5 linked regions of the Macaca fascicularis genome follow. The main gene of each other region encodes a partner of the protein of the gene in region 2 in a complex. Links are inferred from orthologs where the notes say so. Each region holds a gene or a part of one and is shown on either strand. Other genes may lie near its edges. The genes, in order: NSMCE3, EID3, NSMCE1, SMC5 and NSMCE2.

What was found.
Region 1: EID3 (region 2) and NSMCE3 share a complex: the UniProt entries of both Homo sapiens proteins name them as parts of the SMC5-SMC6 complex. The link is inferred for Macaca fascicularis from reciprocal best matches to the Homo sapiens genes EID3 and NSMCE3.
Region 3: EID3 (region 2) and NSMCE1 share a complex: the UniProt entries of both Homo sapiens proteins name them as parts of the SMC5-SMC6 complex. The link is inferred for Macaca fascicularis from reciprocal best matches to the Homo sapiens genes EID3 and NSMCE1.
Region 4: EID3 (region 2) and SMC5 share a complex: the UniProt entries of both Homo sapiens proteins name them as parts of the SMC5-SMC6 complex. The link is inferred for Macaca fascicularis from reciprocal best matches to the Homo sapiens genes EID3 and SMC5.
Region 5: EID3 (region 2) and NSMCE2 share a complex: the UniProt entries of both Homo sapiens proteins name them as parts of the SMC5-SMC6 complex. The link is inferred for Macaca fascicularis from reciprocal best matches to the Homo sapiens genes EID3 and NSMCE2.

What each region holds. Positions count from the first base shown.
Region 1 is NC_088381.1:8,206,847-8,211,022, reverse strand, and holds NSMCE3 (non-structural maintenance of chromosomes element 3 homolog), read right to left. Parts: upstream 2,478-4,176; 5' UTR 2,364-2,477; coding exon 1,464-2,363; 3' UTR 814-1,463; downstream 1-813. UniProt on the Homo sapiens protein: Component of the SMC5-SMC6 complex, a complex involved in repair of DNA double-strand breaks by homologous recombination. The complex may promote sister chromatid homologous recombination by recruiting the SMC1-SMC3 cohesin complex to double-strand breaks.
Region 2 is NC_088385.1:111,236,324-111,241,334, reverse strand, and holds the start of EID3 (EP300-interacting inhibitor of differentiation 3), read right to left. Parts: upstream 3,317-5,011; 5' UTR 3,235-3,316; coding exon 2,119-3,234; 3' UTR 1-2,118. UniProt on the Homo sapiens protein: Tissue-specific component of the SMC5-SMC6 complex, a complex involved in repair of DNA double-strand breaks by homologous recombination.
Region 3 is NC_088394.1:26,348,254-26,353,006, forward strand, and holds the start of NSMCE1 (non-structural maintenance of chromosomes element 1 homolog), read right to left. Parts: upstream 3,139-4,753; 5' UTR 2,529-3,138; intron 1-2,528. UniProt on the Homo sapiens protein: RING-type zinc finger-containing E3 ubiquitin ligase that assembles with melanoma antigen protein (MAGE) to catalyze the direct transfer of ubiquitin from E2 ubiquitin-conjugating enzyme to a specific substrate.
Region 4 is NC_088389.1:101,048,112-101,052,366, reverse strand, and holds part of SMC5 (structural maintenance of chromosomes protein 5), read right to left. Parts: coding exon 4,131-4,255; intron 1,816-4,130; exon of another isoform or gene 1,790-1,815; coding exon 1,745-1,789; intron 1,324-1,744; coding exon 1,228-1,323; intron 773-1,227; coding exon 668-772; exon of another isoform or gene 664-667; intron 463-663; coding exon 343-462; intron 1-342. UniProt on the Homo sapiens protein: Core component of the SMC5-SMC6 complex, a complex involved in repair of DNA double-strand breaks by homologous recombination.
Region 5 is NC_088382.1:135,022,887-135,026,266, reverse strand, and holds the end of NSMCE2 (E3 SUMO-protein ligase NSE2), read right to left. Parts: intron 1,389-3,380; coding exon 1,274-1,388; 3' UTR 1,039-1,273; downstream 1-1,038. UniProt on the Homo sapiens protein: E3 SUMO-protein ligase component of the SMC5-SMC6 complex, a complex involved in DNA double-strand break repair by homologous recombination. Is not be required for the stability of the complex.

The sequences.
Region 1 (4,176 bases), on a different chromosome or scaffold from region 2:
GTAATGGAGGAATACAATGGGACTATGAACTCTTCTAGTTCATCTAGTCCATAAAACAAACTATTATATAGCTATAATTTTTTTTCATTTTACAGGTAAAGAAACTGAGATTCAGACAGCTTAAAACCTACCACCATATCACCATGCTGACAAGTTAGCATGAGCCGTAATTCAAATTCAGTTTGCCAGACAGCCCCAAGACCCACACCTTTTCCCTATACCTAACTCCCTACGAGGTTGATCTTATGTCCTGCTCTCACTGTTCTATGTGGGCTATACTCACCATACACTTTATACTTATTTCCCCATACAATAGAGTCAGACTAGCGGAATATACCTTTTGAACCAGTAATTGCTCTCCTAGGAATCATTTGGAAAACAAGATAAAGAAAAGTTGTATTTAAAAAGTGGCAGCTCCAGACCGAGAATAAAAAATAAAAACATTAAAGAATAACAAGCAAATTCCTCCACATCAGGGACTAAACCCATTTTACAGGTCAAGAAACATCTGCATACAAACTAAGGAACCTACGTAAATTCCTATACTAGTGACGGTGGGGCCAGGATCTGAACCCAGGCAGTCTGATTCCCAAGCAGGCATGGTTAATGGTTACGCTATTGTTTTATAAGCCTTTTTGGTATCCACAGTAGAAATATATTTTACCTCATGATCCTGTACACACACACACAAAAGTAAAACAACTTCTACAAAACAACATTGACCTCAATATGTTGCAAAAACTTTAAGACGCTGATTTCGTCATGAAATTGTCTCATGGCCCACGATTTAAAAAACACACAATGCTTCAGTGCTTCAAAAATACAGTATTTATTGTAATAACTAGAGTAGCATGTAAAAAAAACTAAGTGGAACTGCATGTTTAGCAACACAGCTGAGTAATTATGAATATAAACAATTGCTATTTGGAGAAAATACACCACGTTCATTGCTTGGAACCATGAATAATACTTACATATGTAGGAAATATAGAAAAAATAAAATAGGTTAAGGTAATAAGGATATAGGCAATTACGTTTTTATTTTTAATTTTATAAAGACTTTTATTTTTCCTTACAAACTGGGATGCTTAAGAGACCCGATAATAGCTACTTTTTTATTTTCTTGGCACCAAAGCAACTTACTTATGTGTTCCTTCTGGCATATCTGTTTCAGATCATAGTCAAGTTTTCCAATTCGTTTTACTAAGCTAGGAAAATTTTTTATACCAAAAAAAGTAAAATCAAAGCAAAACAAATGCTCCTTTGTTTATAGATGAAAATCTGGAACCAAATAACACAACATTAAAAGAACAAAACTTTGCAAACACATCCTAAAGCTACACACATTGAAACGCTACAGAAATACGCTTCCTGGGTTCGTTCTCCCTTCCCCCGCTCCTCTGCACTGTGCCTTTGGGTCTCAGACCCTTGTCCCGGGGGTCCCTCTGAATCCACCTCAGATTTCAAGAGGATGGGGCTGAGCCACTGGGCTGAGGTCTGGCCCTGTTCTCCTCATCTGCCAACGCCTCACAGTACTGCGCTGGCCAGTCCTTGGGGTCTTGATTATGGACTTTGGCCACAAACTTAAGAACTTTCATCTTGCTGGTTTCCAGGTTGGTTCGCGGGCCCCACTGGAACTCGTAGTCCACGGGGTCGGTGTGGGGTATCCGCCGGTATTCCAGGTAACGTTGTCGCACAAAGTCCTCGGTAATGAGTTTCTTTGGATCTCCGAAAATGAAATGCTTCTTGGTGGGGTAGACCCCTAAGCGCCGCAGAAAGTCCCAGACTTCAGTCTCCTTGACGGTGTTGCCCTTCATAAAGATGAGCCCCAGGACGATCATCAGGAGGCCCGTAGTGGGCGTGCCTTGGTCACCCCTCACCTCGGCATCCTCCTCCACCGGCTCCAGGGTGTTGATGAGGATGTAAGTGTTGCTCTTGGGTTCAAGTTCCACCAGCTTATAACCGAAGACGTACTGGAGGCGCTCGGCGGCCCGTTTGAGGAGGTCGGGGAAGATGTCCTTGTAGTCCCCGATGACGTGCTTCAGTATGTCGGCCCGCTTGATCGGAATCTTCTTCTGGTCCTTAATCAGTAAGAACTGCACCAGCTCGGACACTTTCAGCTCCTGCTGCTTCTGGGTCCTGGGGCCCACGGCGGGGGAGGCCTGGGACCGGCGGGCGCCCTGCGACCCCTGCGAGCCGCCCGGCCCCCGGGAAGTGCTCGGGGCCTCCTCTGCGAAGCCGTCTCTGCGGGCCCGGGCGTGTTCGCCCGCCCGCGAGGCCCCGGAGTTTCCGCCACGGCTCCAGTCGCTGTCCCTCTCGGCCTGGCCGCCAGAGCGACCCCGGTTCCTCGGTTTTTGCAACATGTCACCGGCGACGCGTACCGGTGCACACTCCGGCAAGCAAGCAGCCGCGGCTGGGATCGCGGGTCGGCGACCCGCTAAGGCCGCTGCCTGGGCGGGGCCCCAGAAGGGGCGCGCAGTGTCGGCTGAGACTGCGTGCCGCGTCATGAAGCCTGCGCCTTGCGTCACGGCGGCTGGGCGGTGCGCCTGCGCGGCTGCGGGGCTGGGGGTACCAAAAGCATCCGAGATTTCTGTGCAGCCCTGCAGGTCTGGTCGGTGAATTTCAGTATAGCGAAGTGTTGTTCTTACTAAACCATGCAAGCAGAGAACGAGAACCGAAACTCCTAAACAAGTGTGTCGCTAAATTCAGGACCAGACAGGCTCAGGCAAGTTTTACAGACGGTATTATGAGTTTCTAATTCTAAATCGGGAGCATTTGTAAATGAAAAGATCTCACAGGATGAATGTGTGAGAAAGAAAAAAAAAAAGGTGAAGAGGAAGGTACGACCGTGGAAGTAAAAGCATTTATTTCTACACAACATGTAGAAGGATATAAAAAACCCAGAGGGCTCTTAGTTTTCGTCCCTCCGCTCAATTTTATACCCTCCAACCCACTGCCCCCAGTTACTTTCTCTAATGCCCCGTGGAGTTTGTTAAAAACAAAAGTCTGCTGCAGGCTTTCCGCGCAAGCAGGACTTCGGTTTCACTATTTCCGTATGTGTATTCTCTGCATTAAACTCCTTTAGCTAGACAACTATGAGAAAACCCCACAAAATTTGTCAATATTAAGTAAATGTTTTAGCTTGGTCAAATGAGTTTATCCTTTGGAAAACAACTGCCTTCAGCTCACAGCCACAATTTTAGCAGAAATGCGTAAGAGGAATGCTGCAAACGTGCACTCTCAAGAGATTACCACTTAATTTTGGGCATCACTGATCAAGAATTGCAATAATGTGGATCTCTTAAATTTCTTAATTCATAATATATTAGCTTTGAGAAAGAAAAGAGAACACAGGGGTATTTATCCCTCATCTATGATGTGTGCAGTCTATGTATATTTTAATTGTGCAACTCAAGTAGCCAAAATGAGTCATTTCATTAACTCAAACCATCAGCAATCTGCTGCCATTACTTCTACAGATCTTAGCAAATTTGTTTCTTCTCTATTTATTGACTTGCAAAGAAGAAACTGAATTTCCCTGTGTCTTTTTAAAGCTACCCAGAAAGTGGATAAACTCTTCAAAGAACCAAATCGAGTTCCTCTTTAATGCAAATATATTCAAAGGAAAGCAATTTAGAACACATTATCTGAATAATAGCATCAAACACAACCTTATTAAAATTTTGTTAAATGTTAGTAGCATAACACATTTGTTTGTAATTCAGTAGGAAAATGCAATCTGATAATGGCACTGGAACTGCTATAGTAAATGTAAAATCATATTCCATGAACTAATGCAAGTATGCTAAAATCTGATACGCAGTGAGTAATAACTTACTGTTCCACACAAGATACAACTATATCCTCAGGCATCAAGCTTAATGACAAAGGCCTACTACGAAAAACAAATATATTATCAAGGTATTCATTTTTTTACAATGAGAAAATTCATCTGCTTCAGTTTCCTTGCAAATTAAAATTTGGACTTAGGTTCATAAAAGCTTCCTGCCATCTAGAATTCTGCAAAAGGTCCCTACCACAGGATGTGGATGGTCTACCTTGAGTCAAAAAAGTTCGGTGACCAAGATATAAGGGGAAAGTGGAAAATTAAATAAAAGCTATTGTCAACAACTGGGCTGGTTTTTCAATGCTGTTTCTTGCTAAGGTATTCACTTA
Region 2 (5,011 bases):
AGTACAAATAGAAACAGTAGTGGTCAACTTCGTATTTTAACAGCTATTAGCTTTAGAGAAGACCCAAAAAATTACCTCTCCTAAGCCTCCAGATGATCTATTAATGCTTTTAAATCATCACTGTCAAATACTCCTAGTAAAGACACGAAGCATTCAACAGAGCAACTGATTGTCAGTAAAGTACCGGGGCGGGATCTGTTTGCTGTCATTAAGAGTACTTTTTCTTCCAACAGCAGATCTCTGCAAAACCCAAGGAAATTGGTTGGTAGAGACATGCTGGAAATGAGGATTACTGAGATCAAATGATACTTCCATGACTGCTACTATAAATCAAAGGATACTAGACACTAGCAACGGTGAGCGCTCTTTAGTATGTGAAAGGAGGAACTAATTTAGAAAATAATTGGCCAAGTTTCATAAGAAAGTTCTATTTTTGCTAAAACCACTACTGTATTATTGGTGAAGAACCTCATCCCCATACATGAAAGATCCTTCCTCTCAGTCTTGGTATCATTTGTTGAGTCTTTGGATTTCCCTTTCCTGTACTACTAGACTTACTAGGAAAGTTTGCCACTGCTATGCACAACAGATGCCTAAACATTTGCCAAATTATTGTTTAATGGCAAAATTCCACGACTACCAAAACTTAAGCTCCTATAAGGATCAAAGGAAAGAAAGTTTATGGGCATGCTTACTGCACCTTCTCAAGTTGTTTTCCTAATGACCCAAACTTTTGGCAATAATCTCCAAATAAGGTTGTAATTTATATTCTTAAAACAACTGCAAGCAACAGAAAGAAAAAAGCCTTTATGGCTTTACACTAAGTGAAGAACATCTAGATAAACTAACATGTTTTAGTTTCAAGCAGGGTCAGTTTCCTGGCATTTAAAACCCTACTAAGAAATGCAAAATTTGGCTCACACTTGTAATCCCAGCACTTTGGGAGGCTGAGGCAGGTATTTGCTAGGTGTGATGGCACGCACCTGTAATCCCGGCTACTTGGGAGGCTGAGGCACAAGAATTGCCTGAACCCCAGAGGCAGAGGTTGTAGTGGGCCAAGATCGCTCCACTGCACCCCAGCCTGGGCAACAAGAGTGACACTTGTCTCAAAGAAAAAAAAAAGATAAAAATGCAAAATTAAAGTGGGACAAATATTCAAAGTTGTTACATGATGAAACAGTGCAGATTCTGAAGGACATTCTATGTACTAACAAAGACCACAAAGGGACACTAGGGGCCAGAGAAGAAATTCAGTAGATAAAAACTACAACTGGATAGCAAAAGATTTTGTGTTCAACGTATAATAGTTAGACAAAAATATCTTCTGAGGATACTAATAGATGAAGTTATTCAATTGTTGCCCAGCTTAACAATCAAATAGAACAGTTTTTCCATAAATCTAATGGTCCTCTCGTGCCTAACTTCTAACAATTCCATGCATTTGACCTTGCTATTCTCCTGCCTAGAATGCCTTTTCCTTCTCCGTGTTTCTACTCAACTTTCAGCCCTTAGCTGACACCTCAACTTCTACAGCAGAGACACTACTTTTGCTGAGTCTAATAACAGAAACTGTTGAGAATATGGATACTCCCTCATAAATCCTGTCTTCTTTGCAATGACTTTTTTATTCTTAATGTTGCATATTAACTGCCTTACAGACAAGTTGTTGTTGTTTGTTTGCTTTTTTTTCCACTTTTGTTTTTTACCCACTCTTTCCCCAACGTGGTTAGGAACTCTTTCTGGGATTCTCTTGGTTCTCTATGACAGAGAAAGCAATGTATCACAGAGCATCATAATTGATTTTCGTAAATTATTATGTTTTGCGAATTATCAAATATCCCTTAATTTGGTATCCAAAACTTGTTTTTGTTAATAGTCTTAAAGGGCATTCAATAAAACGCTCCCATAAATATGCCAACGAATTTTTTTTAATAAGAGAAGATCATGACCTTATAAATTACTAAGAAAAATATGCTGCACAGTAAAACAATGTCTGATGTTCTTGAAGATACTTTTTCACTTTACAAGACATACAATATGTGCTTCAGTTTACATTTGACTCTCCATTTGAGATAACTTCAGAAAAACACACAAAAAGGATCCTATACTAAGAAATCTTTAGTATGAGGAGTATGTAATCATAGCCTCAGAAATTTCAAAAGCTGCCACAATGTTTTTCCACTCCTGTAAAGTCAAAGATATGACTCCCTGTTTCCTACCATGGCAACTGGAATCATTTCCCTCACCCATTTGGTTAACATTCATCGGCTCTAATATTGGCAGCCTGTCTTCATCAAGCCTTATTCTTGCAAAACCATCTCTTACAATAAAAGAAACATAAAATATATTCTCCACAGTACGAGAAAAAGAGTTTGGATCAATCACAAACTCAAAATAGGACACAGGAGTATCAGGATACTTTCGAAAGTAGGTTTGCAACAATCCCAAAATCCTTTCTACGTTTTTTTCTGTCGCTTCTGGATAACTACTCAGGTCCAGCTTCCGCAACTTTGTAGGCATATTCCCATTTTCCTCCATCTTGCGAACTTTTTTCTGGTGTTCAAGTCGGGGCTTTGGTGCAGAAGGTTCTAGTTTGAATGAACCAAAAACAAAATGGAATGTCTCAGCTTTTACCATCCAGGATGTTGCTTCCTTTTCCATTGCCTTCCAGAAGGAAAGAGCTATGTTATCATCACAATCACTCAAGTCGTCAGGCTCGCCTTCCATCCAATTCAGACCCCCGAACAGAAACAGAAAGTCACAAAATGCTAACTGATTAAAGAAGTTCAGGTCAGAGTTTAACTGCTTTGCCTTTTCTTTACCCAAGTCAGAAGCCATGACAAGAAACTGGGCGTCGAGGGCTGCTTCTCTGGTTCGGCTCACTCCATCAAACAGGACGTTGGCTTCCTCCAGAGCCTCGGTCAAGGAGTTGTTCGCCGAGTTCACGATGTCCTCCCGGTTCTGCCGCACGCAGTACATGAGCTGCCGGTACTGCCTGCGGATGCTGCGGCACTTCTCCTCGTCAGCGGTGAGCTCCAGGAGTTTTGGGTCTATGTCGGCATCCCCAGAGCTGAGGTCGTCGGAGCAGCCCGTGACCCTCACCGCCACATCCATCTTCATCGGCGCTCCCTCCGCCGCCGCCGGCTTCGCCGCGTACTCGCTACTAGGGATGAGCACGAGCTGCTCCTCTCCTTTCTCGTCGTCTCCCTTGCGGGAAGCTTTTTCAACCGACATGCCGGCCACTGGTATCTCCGAGGTAACGGCCCTCCCAGCTTGTGGAAACTGGCGGCAGTTGGAGCCGCGGACGCCCGCCCATGCGCATTAGCGGCCCGGCCCGGCGCGACCCGCCCCCAGCACGCTCCGCGGGAAGACAGCCCCGCCCCGGCCCGGATGCACCACGACCCGAGGCGCTCGCTCATAGGCAAGCGCCGCGCTCCGAACACGCGCAATAATGGGCCCCGACCCCAAACGCGAGTTATGCCCGCTCAGGGCACAGCTGTTCTTTTTCAAAGCGTTTACCGACTGGATCACCTCACTTTAAAAAAAACACTTTTGGACAACTTGAGACAAAACTGTTGAGGACACTAAAGGTCCTGCGCTTTAAAACGATCGCTGCCATCATATACCGCAGTGAGGTCGACCGAGGGTTTTGTTTTTTTGTGAACTAAATCTGGCTGGACTGTAACCGCCGGTAAGGCCAAGGCCCGTGAAAAGCAGAAACTCCATTAAACAGGCTGAACTCTCAGTTCTTTTGCAAGGTGGTGTTTAGACTTATTATACAAATGTAAATCGGGTTAATTACTTTCACAGGTCCTCTTTAAAAACCAAACCCCCTCCATCACCCCATCCCGAAGATCTGTGGGGTCGGGGGAGCCTCCAGTATGCGTGCTAACCCCTGCAGGAAACTGAGTGCTCGCATTACTCAAGTGAACTTTGGTTCTCCACCATCCAGGAGTGGAAGAATAGAATGATGGGTAGAGATCTCTGCAAAAGAGCTATTTGCTTGTAAGCTTGCCAACATATAAAGGCCGGCCATCGACACTGAATGGGTAAGAACTCTGAACCCTAAAAGGTGAGCAAAGCTATGAAGATTTCAGAAACAATCTAAGGATATGAAAGCTTAATCTGTAAACTGGGTGACTAATCTGCGTTGGAAAATTTACCCATTGGATTTAATGGGGTCACTGGAAACTCAAGTGCAGTTAACCACAGGACTCCGCTTATCTGTCTCACCAGTAGCAAATAGCAAAGTATACTTAACAACTGTAATTAATACATCTGGTTTTTAAAGAGAACATGCACACAACCAAACCATGGGCATCAACAGCTTTTCAAACCTGCAGCAGGTGCACCTTAAAAAAAAGACACCCACAACTGCACCTGTCCAGTTTCACAGCACCAGGAAGTAAATTAGCCCTACCATCCTTTATGCAGATAGACTTGTTCGTATTTAGCATTAGCAGAAGGTTTTTTGCAAATGCATAAACAGCAAAATCTAGTAGTATTAAGTTACTCCAAAATCCTTATATTACCATTTGCCCCCAATTATTTTATTAACTAGGGGTAATTCAGGGAAATACATGCATTTTTCAAAACACCATGCATTACGGTTAGTTGTACGTATATATGATCCTATGCTATTAGATTGTCGGCTTCTCAAAAACAAAAGCTGGGTTTTACATCTTCCAAACATAGCTGTTTTTACATGGATGCACTTATGTACTGAATGTATAAATTAAAATAGATTTAAAACTGTCCCAGCATCTACTGTAAGTTTTTTGGCAGCAAAGATTAAGTTCACAGATTCGTGGAAGTAATCCTATACACTGAAAGGAAAAGTTGACTGCTCTTCAGAAAAAGTTCTTATCCCTCTTCTGAAATAAAGAAACAATGAGAGATAGGTAAGTTGAGACCCAGGATCATTAAAGGATCATATCTTTCCCAAGTCTGGCCAATTACAAACCAGTATTTAAACTTGTTTTAAATCTTAGGTGAAAATACAGCTAAGAAT
Region 3 (4,753 bases), on a different chromosome or scaffold from region 2:
AACAGTATAAATGACTACCAACTGAAGAACTACATTAAAACAATGTAATTATCTCATAGAATTCAAATCAGCAATGAAGATAAAGTAGAGCTCCTCACATCAACACACATGCTTCTCAAAAAGATAACGTTAAGTGCAAGAAGCAAGTCACACAAAATATATTTTAGGATCCTATCATATAAAATCGAACTCAGCAAAAGCATACATTATATTCATTAGAGATACGAACATACATCGCAAAAACTACAAAGCAAAACAAAGGAACAAGTAACACAATATTCAGAGTGGTAGTTATCTTTGAGGAGGGAAGAAAGGATTCAGTGGGGGGTTTGGGGATCTGAAAATGTCTATTTCTTAACTTGGTGGCAGGTACATGAGCGTTCATTTCATTTTTGTCCTTCAAACTTATACTTCCACACAATTGTATAGGTATGTTACATACAATGTTTTTAAATGTGATGGGCCGGGCATGGTGATTCACACCTGTAATCTCAATACTTTGGGAGGTCAAGGTGGGGGGACTGCTTGAGACCAGGACTTTAGGACCAGCCTAGGCAACATAGCAAGATCCACTCTCCACAAAAAAAAAAAAAAAGTAACATGAATATGTTAAATAACAGCCAAAATAAATGTAAATGAGAATGAGAACAAGATACGATTGAATGCTATGATTTGGTGGAAAAGGGGCGGGAAAGTAGGAGTGGAAGAAAGACAACCATAAGTTTGTTTATGCATATTGTATCCCTTGTCTCTATGAGAAGAGACTGTGGAGAGAATGGTGGGATTAGCCATAGACATACATGTATCACCTACTTAAATAATTCTATTTTATACAAAAATTAGCCAGGCATGGTGGTGCACGCCTGTAATCCCAGCTGCTCAGGAGGCTGAGGCAGGAGAATCGCTTGAACCCAGGAGCTGGAGGTTGCAGTGAGCCAAGATCGCGCCACTGCACTCCAGCCTGGGTGACAGGGTGAGACTCCATCACAAAAAAAAATATATATATATATATATATATTTGTATTAATTAAAAGTTTATTGGCTTTAAATGTACATCAGTAAATTTTTAAATGCTAAGAATTTATGATAAAAGAATACCGAACCAAAACATCAAAGAAAATAGAGGCTCAGCAGCATGATTTCAATATATTTTCCTGGATAAACATTTATTTTTTTTAAGTCTATGCCTTTTTATTTAAGAACAAAAACTCCCTAAATTCAACGTTTAGAATTGAATTTTTTTTTTTAACTAAGCCCAGAAAAATGGGGCTCATAAAATAAAGGCACAATGTGGGCAGCAAAAGAAAAAAGGAGAAAAAATGGGAGAAAAATTGGTTTTAATCCCATGTATAACATATTGTCTTGTTTTGTTTTTGTTTTAGACAATTTAAGGCAGAATTATCTCTCTGCAACCCTGCAGATAAATCCTAGTATTTTAGCTTTAAGTTTCAAGAGTTCAGATATACAGATAAACCAACTAAAGAAAACCTTTTCTAAGGCTTTGAAGCATTATATAAATCTTTAAAATTCCTATCACCCACATTTTAAGAAATACATCTATACTTTTAATTAATTAATGCATTTAATTCATTTAATAATAAATTTATTTAAATTTAATAATTTTGAAATATAAATGTTTGTGGAATAAGTAAATCTCAGTCATACCATTCGTGCAGGTGCTAACACAATTCTTGTGCTTCACATGCACGACATCATTTAACCCCAACCAGCACCTTATGAGCAAAGGATCACTGACCCCATCTTACAGATGAGGAAACTGAGACTAAAAGGGCACAAGGTGACACACAAGAGTTGGTGGCAGAGAGAGACGTGACCATACAACAGCACGGTTCCTGTTCTCAAAGACACTCTCTTATCCAGCGAGAGTGAGAAAAGTGAGTGAACAGAACAGCTACAATCCAGGTCCCTCATCTGCAACCCTCAAATCTAAAAAGGTATGAATACTAGTGGATGATCGGACGCAGGGGAAAAAAAAAGTCTGAATACCAAAACTTGTTTCTTACGTTGGAGAACTTGACCTGACTTAAGGTGGGGCTATCCATGGTTATTTATCCCAACAGTGTAAATATATGCATATCTTTTTTTTTTTTCAGACGGAGTTTCGCTCTTGTTGCCCCAACTGGAGTGAAGTGGCGCGATCCTGACTCACTACAACCTTCGCCTCCCTCGTTCAAGTGATTCTCCTGCCTCAGCCTCCCGCCTCAGCCTCCCGAGTAGCTGGTAGTACAGGCACGCGCCACCACGCCCGGCTAATTTTTTGTATTTTTAGTACAGGCGGGGTTTCACCATGTTAGCCAGGCTGGTCTGGAACTCCGGACCTCAGGTGATTCGCCCGCCTCAGCCTCCCAAAGTGCTGGGATTACAGGCCTGAGCCACCGCGACCCGGTCAATATAATATATGCATATCTTCATATCTTTAGCTGTGGAAAGGGTCGTGTATTTGATTGCAAGCCGCTGCTCCAGCCCCCACTGAGGGTGAAACCTAACATAGAACATACGCACTTTACCTTTCCAAAGTCCGAGAAATCCTCGATTTTAAACGCATCTGGCCTCGGGGCTGTAACACAAGCGGCTGCGGACTTGTACAAAGTGAGAAACTCCGTACACAAAAACAGAGGGGAGCACGGAGGGCGGCGGGACAGACAGGGTGGTCGGCGAAGGCTGTGTTTTCCATAGATGTAATCACAGTTTGAATCGAATTTTATATTTTGCTTTTTCACCTATTACGATGAAAAGTATCCTTACCTGTTAAATCGTAATTACGATTAAAAATATTTTTCACTAAATAGTACGATTTTTAGATGTCTTTGTGTGTGTTGTGGGAGGAGATCCCAGTCCGCTGCCTTCTGCGGCCCCTCTCTGGGCCTCAGTTTCCCCATCAAGAAGGGGGAGCCCCAAGACCCCCGTCCCCGAGTTCCACAGCCCACGAGGATAGACCACGGGGCCAGACCCCACTGCCTGTCTCGCCCACCCCACCTTCCGTCCTCCCCTCGCCTTCCTCGAAGTCCCTCTTCTTTCCCCTCTACCCCCTAGCGCGCCGCGTTACCCACCAGGGTGCCCAAGCGCAACCCGCGCTGCGCTAGCGGATACGGTCGCAAGGCGGACTCTTCTTCCTTTGGGGCGGGGCGAACGCGAACGCGGCGTTCCCGTTGGTGGCCTGCAAACGATTCGCCCGTCCGTTGGGTGACGCACTTCCGGCTTTCCGTTTGCGCCGTTTCCCTAGTGTTTCCGCCTCGTGGGTTAGATCCCAATTACTGCGCCGCTCTCCATCCTTAATAATGGGAAGGGGCTTCCACTTGTCGCCCTCCGCCTCCTGCACCTCAGTGACTTCCCTGACCAAGGAGGAAGAATCGGCGCGCAGCCCGTGCTTCCCCCACTGGCCACGATTCCGCCGGCACAATGTAGTGCCCTGCCCCGGGCCTCAGTTTCCCCATCTGTGGAACTGACAGTGTGGCCTCGTCGTCAAAAATGTGGACTCTGGCCGGGCGCGGTGGCTCATGCCTGTAGGCCCAGCACTTTGGGAGACCAAGGCGGGCCGATCACTTGAGTTCAGGAGTTCGAGACCAACTTTGCCAACATGGTGAAACCCCCGTCACTACTAAAAGTACAAAAATTAGCTGGGCGTGGTGGTGTGTGCCTGTAATCCCAGCTACTCGGGAGGCTGAGGCAGGAGAATTGCTTGAACCCGAGAGGCAGAGGTTGCAGTAAGCCAGATTGCATCACAGCACTCGAGCCTGGGTGACAGAGCAAGACTTAGTCTCATAAAAAACAAAAGAAAAATGTGGACTCTGTGGTCATACAGCCTGAGCTAGAATCCTGGCTCTGCCACTTACTAGTTGGCAGAAGCTTGGGCAAGTCATTGAGCCTCAGTTTCCTCTTCCATTAAATGGGGATATTAGTCCTTGCAAAATAGTGTTGGTGAGATTTAGGTGCTTAGCATAGCCACTGAAAAGTGTCACATGGGAGTGCTGATTAAATGTTAACTATTATCTTACCTAGGGATTGTGAGAAAGCAAGTGAAATTACTCTTGGAAGTGAATAGACTGTTTTGAATCTTCAAGGCATTAATTTTCCAAACGTTTGTATACTATCCCTAGTCTGAGAGCTAGGGATGCAGCCTAGCAAGGGAAACAGGTAACTAATATAGAACAGCGGTACCTGCAAATGTCTGTCTCTGTGAGGATAACTCAAATACAGGCTTGGTCACTCACCACCCCTGTGATCTTGGACAACCTTTTTTTTTTTTTTTTTTTGAGACGGAGTCTCGCTCTGACCCCCAGGCTGTAATGCAGTGGCGCCATCTCGGCTCACTGCAAGCTCCGCCTCCCGGGCACACGCCATTCTCCTGCCTCAGCCTCCCAAGTAGCTGGGACTACGGGCGCCCACCACCACGCCTGGCTAATTTTTGTATTTTTAGTAGAGATGGGGTTTCACCGTGTTAGCCAGAATGGTCTCCATCTCCTGACCTCGTGATCCGCCCGCCTCGGCTTCCCAAAGTGCTGGGATTACAGGCGTGAGCCACCGCGCCCGGCCTGATGTTGGACAACTTCTTAACCTCTCTGGGCTTCAGTTTCATCTGCCAAGTGGGAAAGCAGTAGTGTGTGGTGATTAAAACCTCGAGCTTTGGAGCTGGATGGTCAACATAGAATCCTGGGCCTTAAACTCAGTATCTCCAAGACACAGGACAAAGTATAGTAAGCCATCCCTGTTTATAGGTTCCCCATCTACGGAT
Region 4 (4,255 bases), on a different chromosome or scaffold from region 2:
GACACTGATATATACTATATTTCAAACTAATCTGTTTATGAGTCTTCTAACTCCAGTTGTGGTAGCTTTATAAAGTAACATATTTATTCAATACAACTGAATAACCATTACTCAGATTGTATAAAAAGAGTTACAAGGTATTAGTTACTAATTCCAAACATCACCCCCCACCAAAAAAAGTGACCCTAATAGAATCCCATAGGTGATTTTCTCCTTTCTTTCAACATTTTGGTAAACAAAACTTTTCACAGATATAACTCTAAAGTAAATAAATAATTTATATGTACTTTAAGCATATAATTAAAATTACTTGCCAGAAATATATTTCAAATGCAATTTTACCTCATTTTCTGTATGGAGATCAACTTCACCAGCACACTGCATAGAACTAAAAAAATTGCTGAATTTTTCATTAATTTTTTCTACCAGCTCTTTTAAAGGATTAAGCCACCTTTCTTTTACCTACAAATAAACACAATATAAAAACATAATTTAAAAGCAGTATTACTATATTGTGACACAAAATTTCACGTAAATTTTATATCAGTATCAGTCTGGGCATAACACACTTCTCTTAAGCATGTCATCTCATTTTCCATTATTCTACATTCCCATTTCATTAATAATCACATGATAAAAAGTAAAGATTAAAAACTAAAAAAATTACCTGTGAAATGTTTTCCCTGTATTGATCTAGTTCAACTTTCTTTCCCTTTAGTTCCTCAGTTAACTGCTCTATTTCTTCTTCTCTTTTTGTATACTCCTGAACAATCTGGCAGGGGGAAAAAAAAACTTCTTTAAGATAAATCTACCAAAGTATAAAAGTATATACAATTTTGCATTGATTAAAACATTAACTGAAAATGGCAATTGTGCTGTATTGTTTGTATGCAAATAATTTATGTTCTTATTACATACTGAAAGTGACATTTTTTATCCTTGAAAAACTAGACATTGCAGTATTTCAGGTTAGCCCGACTATTCTTTTTATAAAGAAAAGGCACAGAACATTGTGTTCCTTAGGAAGAATCTATTTAAAATTCTAATAGATTCAGAATCTGGCATTTAAAGCACATTGTTCCTGCTGTCTAGCTTATCATTACCAAGAGCTCTAGTACAGAGTGGGAGGCAAGTACTGGAGGGAACTCTGTGTGTGTATGTGTGTGTATGGGGAGGGTGGTGGTGGTGGTGGCTGGATGCAGAATGGGAGTAGAGAAACAGGCATACTGTAGGATTCAGTCCCGTGAAGCAGGAAGCTCTTGATCTTTCTTCAGTTAATAAAGCATCAATTTCATCCAATGTGTTTGGAAGGTCTTGGAAAACCTAAAGAAAAAAATTGCCCATCATTATAGATACAATGAAAACGGTTCCATTCAAATAGTTAAAAGAAAAATAATCTGCTGAATAAGTTATCTACTATCTGTTCTACAGCATGCTGGTACACAAGGATACAAAGGAATAATAAACAGGGTCATTTGCCTTCGAAAGTTTGTATTTTAAAGAAAACAAAATGTATGTACTGGATAACACCTTAAGGCAACGTATTGATGTTGAGTATTCAAACAAGCAGTACATATCTTATAGGCTAGGGAATTTAGAGAAAAGAAGTATCAGTTCATGCTATAGGAGAGTTAAGAGAATCCAAAGGCCTAGAATTCATCTCTGGGCCTTAAAGCAAATGGCTAGGGAGGAGCAAGGCAGAGGGAAGACAGGAGCTTGGGAAAAAAGAATGAGTACTGCATACCATGGGGAGTGAGGAGTTGTGTCCATTTGGAATGGTGGGTACTTGCTGAATTGGTAGAATGGGTCCAGAATATGTGGGGCATTGAAAGAGAGCAAGAAGTTAGAACTTTATACTGCACTTATGAAGAACTAAAAAAGCATCCTTAGTATCTAATTACTTTGACAGTTGAATTTCACCACGGTACTATCTTCTGAGTCCATGCCATGGGGACAAATTAGAACAGACACTTTTTTTTTTGAGGGGAGGCAAACAATTACATTGTTTGACTTAGCACGACCTGCAAAGGCTGTATACTACATGGTACAAAATGAATCCTGAAACCCTGAAAAAGATCTTGACATATTAATCTAATATCTTCAGCTTATTATTTTAACCTCTTAGAAAGCAGTTCAACTTCTATAGACCTTCAAATATTCCTTTGTTGAATCTCTGACGTACTCACTGAGATTTAAGCTCATGTGTCCAACATTTATTTACTCGATATCCTCACTTGACTCTAACAGGCATCTTAAATTTAAGATGGTGAAACAGAATCTGGATTTCACCCACCTTACCTACCACTTCAAGCAACCCTGTTTCTCCTTCAATCTTCTCCATTCCAGTAAATAGCACCGTAATTTGTTCGGGTGAAAAATTTAGGGGTTCTCTCTCTTATCCTTCATGTCAAATCCATCAGCAAGTCTTGCTGGCTCTGTCACTAAAAGATATCTAAGATCTGTCAACTTCTCCCTCTCTCTCTTCAGTGCTATCACCCTAATTCATGCCATTATATATCTCTTGCGTGGTCCAAAGAAATGACCTCCTAAATGGTTTCATTGCTTCCATTCTTGTATCCCTACTTTATCCTCCATCTAGAAGAACAGAAGTTAAGAGTGCTCTTTCATAAAAGTAGTAATGTCACTTTTCTGTTTAAGATCCTCCACTGGAGTCCATCCCAAAAGAATACAACCTTAATTCCTTGTATGGTCTAAAAGCCCTACATAATCTTGGCCTCTGCCTTCTTCTCTGCTTGGATAATTTTTAACCCCAATGAGATTCCTTTTATTCTGAAATGTCCCAAACATACTTCTGTTCTGGGCTTTGTCTAAGTTGTTTTCTCTGTCTGGAATACTTTTCCCTCACATCTTCACTTGACTGATCTGTTCTCTTCATTCAGGACTGTTATAAAATGGTATCTTTTCAAAGGAGGCTTCCCTTACCAAGTTCCCATCCATGTCACTCCATCTCCTCACCCTGTTTTATTTTTCTTAGCATTTCTTGTTATCTGACATTATCTGATTTTTGATTTGTGTTTTCATCTACCTAATCTTCCAGACTAGAATATAAGTTTCAGCTGAGATGGAAGTATGTCTGTCTTGTTCAATGCTTGCCATATAGGAGGTAATTAATACATTTTAATGATTAATCATCTTCTAATTTTGATTCAAAAACAGTATGACTTATCAAGAACAGAATCATGCTTTTTCTGAAAGAAAAAATTAGTACAGATTGTACTTATATTTATTTTATAACAACACAATGTATTCTGAAGATATTCTACTGTTTTTAGAAATAAGCTTCTCAATTTGTTTTAAAGATATCTACTGAGTTCCTAGTATGTATCCAAATAGTCGAATCCATTCTCTGTGATTCTGTGTCTGATATCATAAAATAAATCAGTTGAGGATTTGAAAATTATAATCCATTAATTTTTTTCCAGTTGTTTATATCTTTAGTAGTCATTTCATTATCTATTGAAATAGATAACATTTGAAATTAAGAATTTTAAAAAGACACACCAATACTAGATATTTTAAAATTTATTTTATAATTTCATTTTGACATTATTCTGAATAGGTATGCAGGCAAAGTATCATCCCCACTTGTCACAGAGGTATGTAAATTAACAGTGGGATGTGACTAAAGGGCAGCATCTCCTAATTTTACTGAGTGGTATGTCAGCATAAAACATATAATGGAAGTAAGACCTCTTTTTTTCCTTTTCTTATTGGCAGATGTTAGTCCTAAATATTCAGCTCCCATTGAACCCTAATTAAACACCCCAATTTCCGGGGAAACATTTTCATTTTCCCTTTATTTTTAAAATGTCCTATTTGTTATTTCTGATATACCAATTACTGGCACAATATTTCCATGGAAAACTGTATGTTCCAACTGTACCCATTAAAAGGCATTTGTATTGGAAGAATAAATGTTATAGTACCAATAACATTGATCTGTTAAGCAACATTATTTTATATATCTATTCAGTTTAAAAATGTGGAAAAACTCCCTATTTTTTATGACACATCATATTTTTCATGGCCTGTTACAATGCTTAAGATCCTATAATCTTAAAAATATGTTAAATATGGCAATTGTAGCATTATATACTTTTTATACTTACTGTCTGGTATTCTTGAGGAAGAGTCTGCTCTGCACCCAGGTTACATACTTGCCTAGCTCTCTTCATAAGTTCCTTGCATTTCTGCAATAATCTCTGTCTGTTTTCATCCAACTCAATGAAATGTT
Region 5 (3,380 bases), on a different chromosome or scaffold from region 2:
TCAATAAATGTTAGCTATTATTAGCTATTTTGGTTTTCCAGTGTCATCAGGGTATGCTTCAAATTTTGTTTAATTAAATAGTAAGGTTGATAAAAGGTTGCTAATGGAGACAATAGATTGGTACTCATTACACAATTAGAATATAATTGAAGACATTCAACTTAAAGACCCTGCTGGTGTAAGTCCATAGACTCTCAGGGGTCAGAGAACATCTTGTTGAACACCTTCACTTTATGGCTGAAGACACTAATGCCCAGGGGGATAAAGTCACTTGTAGTAAGCCATCTAGAAAAACAGAGAGCAGCTGGAATGTCGTTACTGTTGATGGTACTTTAGGTTCTTGGAGGGCTGCAGCAAAGTTTTCATTACAGGCATCAATCATCACTGCAATGCACTGATTAGCCAGTCACTGGAGCATTCTATTCCATTCAGAATGACAATAAAAGCATTTATATGTTTGGAACTGTCAATATACAATATAATACAAGAAAGTAAACTGACTTTGCTTTATAACCAAATGCTATTATTTACTATACTTACAGAAAATGCCTTGCAATGGGTGTTTTTTTATATGTTTTAATTTCAAATATCACTTGAAAGACATTCTTTTTATTTATTTATTTATTTATTTATTTATTTATTTTGAGATAGAGTCTTGCTCTGTTGCTCAGGCTGGAGTGCAGTGGTGTGATCTCGGCTCATTGCAATCTCCACCTCCTGGGTTCAACTGATTCTCCTGCCTCAGCCTCCTGAGTAGCTAGGATTACAGGTGCGCACCACCACACCTGGCTAATTTTTGTATTTTTGGTAGAGACGGAGTGTCACCATGTTGCCCAGGCTGGTCTTGAACTCCTGACCTCAAGTGATCTGCCCACCTTGGCTTCCCAAAGTGCTGGGATTACAGGTATGAGCCACTGCACCTGGCTGAAAAACATTCTTTAGCCAAAACTATTATAAAAATCAATCTGATGTCCTTGAAATGGAAAAGCCTGCACCTCTGGAACAATCCCTACATCAGGAGGCGTGCAGGGAGGACACTGCAGATGATCAAAGTTTTATTTAACATTATAGAACACTTAAAAATAAACAATATGCTTGCATTTCTGTTGTGTAACTTAGAAAAATGTTTTCAAGCACACATAAAAGCATCAAGTTTTACCCCAAACAAGTATGCTATGCAGCCAGTCCCTAACTGCTGGGGCCAGCACTGCTCTCAACAGACGGCTGAGGTAGGAGGTAGGCTGCTGGTGTCCCTGCGGGCAGGTGGCTTTTCCTATTCGGAATGATGTATTCTCTTGTTGTGGTTCTCAATCGCCCTTCTAAGTGCTTCATCCTGGATGAGATCCGACTTTCTTACATTCGTGTGGCTACAGCCAATTTTAGGGCAACTGCAAGGGAGAAAGAACATCAAGTCAGTCCCCTTTACTGCCTTAAGCAGAAACTTCTTTTACACTCAAGTGTTTAAGTAAGACTTCTAACGAAAAAGGAAAAGTGTTAAAGTCAGGACCAAGGTGCCCTCATTCATTGATTTGCTGAGTCCCTACCTGAGCCAGGTCCTGTCCAGATGCTGGGGACACAAGCGATATGTGAGTAGTGCCTATCTTATTAAGAGCTAACTTTCTAATGAGAAAGACAGGCTACCACTAGCGAACCAAATAAATGCTTGCTGTAAGTTCAGGTCACCTTATGGGCTATGAGGGCAACAAAGCAGGGTCAAGAAGAGACAGTGCTGGGGCCATGGCTGCTTTGGCTGGACTCAGGGCATGCCTCACCAAACACATCTCATCTTGGGCAGGACCCAGAATGAAGCATGGGAACAAGTCTGCATGTGGTCCGGGCTAAAGCAGTAGCGAGTACAGTGCTGAGGACGTCCAGCTTGGTGCCCTGGAGTGAGAGCAAGCTCTATGTGGCTGAAGCGACCCAGACAAGAGGGAGAGCAGTTGGAAGTGAGGTCAGTGGGCCAATGGGGCTTTGGATTTTATTTAATTTAATTTATTTATTTTGAGACAGAGTCTCACTCTTTCACCCAGGCTGGAGTGCAGTGGCGTGATCTTGGCTCACTGCAACCTCTGCCTCTTGGGTTCAAGTGATTCTCCTGCCTCAGCCTCCCGAGTTGCTGGGATTACAGGCGCCTGCCACAATGCCTGGCTAATTTTGTGTATTTTCAGTAGACACGGGGTTTCACCATGTTGGCCAGGCTGGTCTCAAACTCCTGACCTCAAGTGATCCACCTCCCTTGGCCTCCCAAAGTACTGGGATTACAGGTGTGAGCCACCGCCTAGATTGGATTTTATTTTAAATATGAAGACAAAACACTGGAAGGTTTTGAGATGGGGGAGGGGTGTGTTTGGTTTACATCTGGAAAATGTTACTCTGGCTGCTTATGGAGAACACAAAGCAGGGAGGTAAGAGAGGGGCAGGGAAAATAGCGTGGGGGATCCCGCAGGGTACAGGAGAGAGGTGAGGGCAGCTTGGTCGAGGGTGGCATGGCGATCAGCTTCAGGACACGCTTGACCATAGAACCTGTAGGACTTGTCAACGGAGCGGCTGTGGAGTGTAAGGGAAAGGGAAGAAGCGAGCTTCATCTGGGCAGATCAGTGACTGGTAGTGCCCTTTATCACAGTGGGAAATGATGGGGCAAAACAGGCTGCAGCACAGAGCCACAGTCCTGGTTGGTATCTGTTTCCTCTGGAACGGATGCCCAGTAGCTCTCCCAGAAGAGACTGAGTGGACCACTGAGACTCAGTGGAAAGGCTGCAGCTGAAGACACCAGTGTGAGTCACCCAGAAAGGGGTGGAAACAAGCCACGGCTCTGCTTCCATGTGATCTGCTCTGAGGGCAGTGGGCTGGATGACATCACCTATTTCTTCTCAAAGAATCTGGTTCTCAAAGTGAACCAAATTTTGGTAGATTAGAGGCCCAATGTTTGGAGTCAAGCTAATCTAGGTCTGAATTTTCTCTCTACCACCTACTTGCTAGTTATGAGACCACAGGCAATTCACAATAACCTTCTTGAGCCTCTCTTGCCTCTGATTTAAAATGGGGAGAGAACCCCTATTTCCCAAGGTGACAGGCAACACAGTGCTCAATGATGTTAATTCCCTTCCTGATCCCGTGACTATCATGTGTTCCCTCATCATCATTCTTCCAAGAAGTTTTAAAGTTCTGGATCTATTTCTACCTTGCATATATCCAACACAGGCATGTACCCATTCATGCATTAATTGATTCTTCTAGGGATCAGTCCTGTGCTAGGTTCTAAGCATGCAACTGTGAAATACAAATATATGGTTCCTGTCCACACAGAGCTCTGGCCCAGTGATCTGAGACAGCTCTCCATAAAGCACAGGATATTAAGACCAAAAACAACAAATATGCAA